Schizosaccharomyces pombe: one gene and its partner. The protein of the gene in region 1 interacts with the protein of each later gene in a pairwise test. Each region holds a gene or a part of one and is shown in the gene's direction. Other genes may lie near its edges.

The links.
Region 2: the proteins of ecm31 (region 1) and rrp40 interact in a two-hybrid assay, tested with the Schizosaccharomyces pombe proteins (one large-scale study listed by BioGRID).

The regions. Positions count from the first base shown.
Region 1 is NC_003424.3:160,144-163,816, reverse strand, and holds ecm31 (3-methyl-2-oxobutanoatehydroxymethyltransferase), read left to right. Parts: upstream 1-2,000; 5' UTR 2,001-2,036; coding exon 2,037-2,840; downstream 2,841-3,673. Other genes in the region: SPOM_SPAC5H10.10 (NADPH dehydrogenase), read right to left, coding at 1-857; pan6 (pantoate-beta-alanine ligase), read left to right, coding at 2,872-3,673.
Region 2 is NC_003424.3:1,178,206-1,182,007, reverse strand, and holds rrp40 (exosome subunit Rrp40), read left to right. Parts: upstream 1-2,067; 5' UTR 2,068-2,076; coding exon 2,077-2,799; 3' UTR 2,800-3,152; downstream 3,153-3,802. Other genes in the region: SPOM_SPAC22A12.14C (BSD domain-containing protein), read left to right, coding at 1-779; mug84 (pig-P phosphatidylinositol N-acetylglucosaminyltransferase subunit), read right to left, coding at 1,167-1,754; dihydroxyacetone kinase Dak1, read right to left, coding at 3,201-3,802. UniProt on the Schizosaccharomyces pombe protein: Non-catalytic component of the RNA exosome complex which has 3'->5' exoribonuclease activity and participates in a multitude of cellular RNA processing and degradation events.

The DNA.
Region 1 (3,673 bases):
ATAGCATGTAAATAGGCCAAATTAGGAAACCTCTCCTTTATTTTTTTTATCATAAACACGTGTGCCTCAAAAGAATCCTTGTCTTTCCAAATATCTGAAAACGGAGAAATCCTATATCCAACGCGCTCTTGACCTATGGCATTCACGACAGACTCTAGAAGTTCAAGGCAAAATCTAGCACGATTTTCTAAAGACCCACAATATTCCGGATCACATTTGTCACCATAGCCGTTTAGTACAAATTTGTCCAAAAGAAATCCATTCACTTGATGAACTTCAACACCATCTGCACCACAACCGAAAACAGCTCGTTTCGCTGCTTCAGTATACGTTGTGATGTGTTCCTGTATATCTTGTTTTGTCATAAATTTATCGACATACAGCTCCTCTCCACAAATAGAGTAGGCACTGCCTAGAGCAGCAGGCAATCCGGTAGGATCCATTGGGCATTCCCCTTGTGTAACTTTTTCCAACCTTTCCTGATCTTCAAGATAATCGACCTTTAGCTCTCCAGGAAGGTTCCAAAACTGTATAAACACAAAGCAATCATTGTCATGGATCGCCTGTACAATTGGTTTCCAAGCTTCTACATGTTCATCGTTGTACAAGCAAGGGATATTACTAAAGCCTCCCGACTTTGCGCCTGAAAATAATGATTCTGTAATGAGTAATGTGCCAGGAATCGAACTGCGTTGCTTGTAGTATTCCTTCACAAGATCTGTCATTACAAGGCCATTATCTAAGCATCGTAGACGGGTAGCCGGTGCGTGAACCATTCGATGTTGAAGTTGCATGTTACCAACCTTAATGGGCTGAAACAATTTACTCTGCGATTCATATAACTTTTGAACAGCCATCCTGGTGTGTATCAAAGAAAAGAGCAGACCTGATGGAGAATTTTGATCAAAAAAAATTTATTAGGTAGCGCTAAAGACGAAAATACCTTGAATATCAAAAGGAAAATAATAAAATTGAAAACTTCACAAAAGAAGTGAAGATCTTATAAATCTTTTTGTGTATGAAGTTTAGGAGGAATTGAAATAGATGAACGGACTTGTAGCCCTGTAGCAGAGTTACCACGTGCGTGGATCAATCAATAGGCATGCAGCCGCACCAATAGCACTACTATATTATTCGCAGGAGTGAGATTGGGAAATGATTAAAACAATTGGATTGATTGACCTTGAAGGAATACAGAAAAATCGAGAATGCGCCTAAATTTTTTCATTTACAGATACTTGTCAGCTTAGCCTTTTGTCAATGATCTCCAATATCGGTATTTCGCAGTTGTGTTTACCAACTGACGATTCATCATAAGAATTCAAATAATGAGTTTACAGACATGAAGCTGATCAACATATTTCTGTATGACTATGAAACACACTAGCACAATTCAAATAGAGGGATTATTGCAAAGTGGATTGATGCGAAAATACTCCAAAGTTGTTTCAAGCCGTTTTTTGGTATACAAACGGAAAATTAGCAATTTCAATGATTTTTGTACTTAAAAATGTTATACATTCGACATGAATATGAGTAACAAGAGAGCAGTAAAATAAGTTGCTTGTGTTACTAAACATTGATATCTTAAAAAATTTGCGAAAATAATGACTTTGTTTTAGGAACGACCACTATCAAATGGGATATCTATTCAAATATTAAAATAGTTGTTTTTAAACAGGTAGCTATTTTAGTTTGCGAATAAAAATCCGTTGCAATTGGACAAACGAATTTCAAAGGTTGTAATTCTTTGTAGGTTATATGAATCGTATGTAAATAAACCAGAGTAACCATGTATGTTAAATGCTTTAACTGGAGGATCACAGTGATTTTTACTTTTTCATAGACATATTCAAAGTATGTGAGCAAGAGGTTTCCTAAGCAAGAATTTCTCTTATAAGTATTATTATTTTTAAAGTAAAGAGTCCATTTTTTAATATGCATTACTTGTTTTTAACATATTAGAAAATATCTGGGTTGAATTGTGCTAGACTTGTTTTACAGACGTACCACCTTATGAAAAGGAATAACAAAAAATGTCATTAAAGCAAATAACTATATCCACTCTTCGTCAATGGAAACTAGCAAATAAAAAATTCGCTTGTATTACAGCATATGATGCCAGTTTTTCACGACTTTTCGCAGAACAGGGGATGCCTGTAATGCTCGTCGGTGACTCCCTTGGAATGACTGCTCAAGGTCATAGTACTACATTACCAGTGTCAGTAGAAGACATAGCATATCATACAAAAAGTGTTCGAAGAGGTGCCCCTAATCGCCTCTTGATGGCTGACCTTCCATTTATGAGTTACAGTACATGGGAGGATGCTTGTAAAAATGCGGCTACTGTAATGCGTGCAGGTGCAAATATAGTTAAAATAGAAGGAGGAGGGAATTGGATTTTTGAAATTGTACAAAGACTTACAGAACGATCAGTCCCTGTTGCTGGACACCTTGGCCTGACTCCTCAGTCTGTAAACATTTTTGGAGGTTATAAAATACAGGGTAGGGAACAGTCTGCAGCAGCACGCTTAATTGAAAATGCACAACAGTTGGAAAAGTTTGGTGCGCAGCTGCTCGTCTTAGAATGTATTCCAGAGTCACTAGCTGAACAAATCACTAAAACTATATCCATACCCACTATCGGGATAGGAGCCGGAAAGCATACTGATGGCCAAATACTTGTCATGCATGATGCTTTAGGAATTACTGGAGGCCGCCCACCCAAATTTGCTAAGAATTTTTTGTCCGGGGCTGGGGACATTCGCACGGCTATCCAACGTTACATCTACGAAGTAGAACAAGGTCTATACCCTGCTGAAGAACACAGTTTCCAATAAATAAAATACAAAATTTCTGGATATTTTGAGCATGCAGGTTCTTAAAGAGAAGCTCCTGATTCATCAGCAAGTAGATAATTGGCGAAAAGATGGAAATCGAATTGCTTTTGTTCCCACCATGGGAAATCTCCATGAAGGGCATTTTTCTCTAGTTCGTGAAGCCAAAAGACATGCCGAAAAGGTTGTTGTCAGTATTTTCGTAAATCCAATGCAATTCAATAATCCACAAGACCTACTCTTGTATCCTCGAACCATGGACCAAGATTGCTCTCAGCTGCAAAACCTGGGAGTCGATCTGGTTTATGCTCCAACTGTTGAGGAGTTATATCCGGAAGGGTCTCAAGACATTACTTTTGTCGACGTCCCTAAGCTGTCCACCATGCTTGAAGGTGCGAGTCGACCAGGCCATTTTCGTGGCGTTACTACAGTGGTTAGCAAGCTTTTTCACATCGTAAATCCGGACGTAGCCTGCTTTGGTGAAAAGGATTTTCAACAAGTAGCCATCATTAAAAAAATGGTCCGCGATTTGAATTTCTTTATTGAAATAATTCAAGTGCCAATTGTGCGCGCAGATGATGGACTTGCACTTAGTTCTCGAAATGGCTACTTAACTTCCGAAGAGAGAAAAATCGCTCCCAATTTATATAAAATTTTGAAAAAATTAGCCCAAGAGTTGAGTAATGGCAATGGCGACTTAGAGAAGTTGATTGCAGAAACTAATACTGAGCTATCACGTTGTAGATTCATTCCCGATCAACTGGAAATCTGTGACTCTACGACTTTAGAACCTTTTACTGCTGGCACAAAAAATGTCGTAATTTTGGCAGCTGCTT
Region 2 (3,802 bases), 1.0 Mb from region 1:
TAGAAGAAACAGCAGGAAGTTTCTGGAGTGGCTTCGGATCTACAGTGAATGGTTTTTTGGATCAAGCATTGCAGATATCACCCAAAGAAGACGATGTATCGACTCCTACACACGAAGCCTCTTCGTCTGTTTTCTTAAATCGCCACGAGAGACAGTTGTTGGAACTTGTTCAAAACGAAAATACTTTTACCCAAATTATCTCTGAACCCTCTCATGGGATCACGTTTGAAAGCTGGGAAAAAGAAATTTCCATTGATGGGAAAACTGAAGAGATCTCTTTACTTTTGGAAGAATATCCTGATTTAAGGAAACAGATGGAATCTTTAGTACCTTCTGAAGTTTCTTATGATGATTTTTGGAAACGATTTTTTTGGCATAAAGAGGTTGTACAGCCGATAAAGGCAATTCAATCAGGAAACGATGAAGAAGAAATTTTTAGTTGGGGAGATGAAAGAAGTGATGAAGAAGAAAGTGACAATGAACAGGTTAATGATGAAAAAAAGCAATCAAGTGAAGAAGATACTACTGAGAATAATTCAGCAGCTGAAGTGATAGATGAAACCGTCAATGATTTGGAGTCAGCAGTTTCAAAAGGCTTACAAATTGAAACTCAACCCGCAAGCCATGATGGAGAGGTTGATGGAGAAGTTAAAGAAGAAGAGGAAAATAAAGTATCATCTTCCAGTAATATAGAAGCTTCTCAAAGTTCTCTTGAGGTGAAGGATGAAGCAAATAGAAAAGTTGATGACGATGATGAAGACGATGATGACTGGGAATAACGACTCTCGTCAAACTATTAAAAAGAGATATACTGTTTTTACTTCTCTTCTATTCATTTACTTGTTTTGGTGTGTTTTGTTCGTATAGCTAATTATTTGTCTGAAAACATTTTGTTTACGAACAACTCTTAGGTATATTATTAGCGGAATATAAAAAACATCTAATCTTGAGTATGCAGGTTGGAGTAGTAGGACTAGAGCATTAATCAACCTTCTTATAATATTATACATTTACATATACTTTTTGATTGTGAAACTTAAGGAAACCAGGATTTAAAAGTAAATCTGTATGGGTCGACGACATCAATAGATAATAAGTCCCTTAAATAATGAAGATTTTTAAGGAGAAAATGAATTCTGATATCACTTAGCTGCTTTTAGTCTTTTTTAAGTTTCTTCCAGTTGTTGTTTATTCACATCACATAGGCGAAGATCAACAACTCGACCATGAGCAGCACCATCTTCTTCACCAACGAGTGCGTATTGATCAACGATACATTCTAAGCTGCTAAATGGCTTAGTCAATACTTCGGTATTGTAAGCGTTTAGCACAACGTGAATGTAAATAACAAGAACAAATAACCAAGTAGGAATAGCTAGAGCCCACCAACGAGATAGATAATAATGAATCTCAAAAAATTTGAGAACAGGCGCAGGCGTCAGAGCCCAAACAATATACACGCCGAACCCCAACATTGACACCAAATACATCACGAACCCGTAATACTCATAAGTAGGAACTTTTACCATTATATCCCAATCTTGTTGATCAATTTCTGCAATGGCAGTTCCCTCTTCATCAGGCGTTGTAGACCTCGTTCGAAACATCGTAGTCAAAGATGGCGACGGTGGAACCAACATCGGATGTCCGTAAAACGGAGGATCAAAAACAGTAGTTTGCCTTACATCTTCTATCTCTCCTTCAGCAGAACCCTCTATCCCTTTTATGAACGTGGAATGATGAGTAAGTGTCATCCAAACATGTGTTTACTATGTGCATTTGTTAGATGAGAGCGCGTACTGAGATGATACAAATACAACTACGTCTGCTTACGATGTGATTAAATTCGATATCCCTATTAACGACATACATACAGAAAATCCTCGTAAACAGCATTATAGCACAATGTACGTTTGCGTTATTTTTCACAGTCTGGGCTAATGTGATTTATAAAATTAACGAGATTTACAGTATTAGTTTAGACACACTTACCGTCCAAGACATTAATCCTCGAATTATAGTGTATAACTCGCGAAAAATCAAACCCCAAATAGCTAATTTTCTTCTGTTAACCAAATGGCTGAAGTTGAAGAAAAAGGTCTGTTATCTTATTACTTTCCTGGTGAGCGGATACCAGACTCCATAATTAGTCAGGATGGATCAATTCGTTTAGGTCCTGGTTTAGTCTTTCAAAAGAAAGACCGTGAAGAAGAAATAGTGGTCTCAAAAGCTGGGAGGTTGCATCAAACTGGAAAAAATGCTATGTTGATAGACTCACGGACAAAAAGATATATTCCTGCTACAAATGATCAAGTTATTGGGCAAATTATTTCTAGATTTGCGGAAGGTTATCGAGTAGATATTGGGTCAGCTCATATTGCTCAATTGAATGCATTGGCTTTTGAAAATGTGACTCGTAAAAGTAGGCCCAATTTAAATGTTGGAAGCCTTGTGTATGCTCGAGTATCACTCGCTGATCGTGATATGGAACCGGAGTTAGAATGTTTCGATGCTACCACAGGGAAAGCTGCAGGATATGGTGAACTTAAAAACGGTTATATGATAACAGGTTTATCTTTATCTCATTGTAGGAAGTTGATCCTTCCTAAAAATACACTTTTACAGACCCTAGGAAGCTACATTCCTTTCGAAATTGCTGTTGGAATGAATGGTCGCGTTTGGGTCAATTCTGAAAATCTTTCTACTACGGTCCTCATTTGTACAGCTATCAGAAATTGCGAATTCATGTCTGATGAAGAGCAAATAAAGTACTGTAAAGACCTTATTAAAAAGCTCTAACGAGATTCAGAAAAAAAAATTTGAATAATATGCACAGTCTATTTAACAATTCTTGTCCAATTGGGTTTAATTCAAAAATGGTTTGCCCTTATCTAGGAGGGACCATTTCTGAATAAAGTGTATTGTTTCTTCTTTAATGCCTGTGTCTAATATTCCCATACAATTTCTGTCGTTCTTTTATTTATTACAGCAGCGTGTTCATACAATATCTACACTCGTCCTTTCTCAACTGTTTTAATTAAAAAATTACTTATTATAATGCATGAATATACAAATACAGATGCAAAGATAAGTAAGCAATAATTAATGCATGCATAATGAAAATATAATTGTTATTCGTGCTCGTAAATAGTTTTTAAGATCATACCAATTCTACAATCCCAAAAAAATTTCGTATCCAATTATTTCGTAAATCCTTCGACAATTGCAACGACACCAAGAGCGCCGGCATCGGGAACTTTAACATCATCACCAACGTAGACAGCACGTCCAAGTTTGGCTTGCATATCTGCAGTAGCATCAGCACCTTTACGAGCCTCCTCTACGGCAGCATTAAGATCATTAGTTTTAACAAATGTTTCGACAAATGGAACAAGAGCATCACACATAGTGCTGTCACCAGGACGAGCGGGAGTATACTTGAAAAGAGTATCAAGAGCAACCTTCAAACCAGCAGCCCATGTCTTAGATGAAATGTCCTTGCTCTTCTCCAAGGTGTCTTTCATGCCCTTCGCAAAGCCATGGAAGAAAATGGCGTACAAAGCACCAGATGTACCATCCATATTGTCTTCAATAACATCTGCGATATCACGAACAATACGAATAGGATCGTCAGAGAATTTGTCGGATTTAACAAACTTCAAAACACCTTCAGCACCACGCTTCAAAGTAGTACCACAGTCACCATCACCAGCCATCGTATCGAACTTTGTAATTTTAGGCTCTGCTTTGATGAGATTCTCCATCGAATTGACAATCGCCTGACGAACCTTCTCCTTATCGA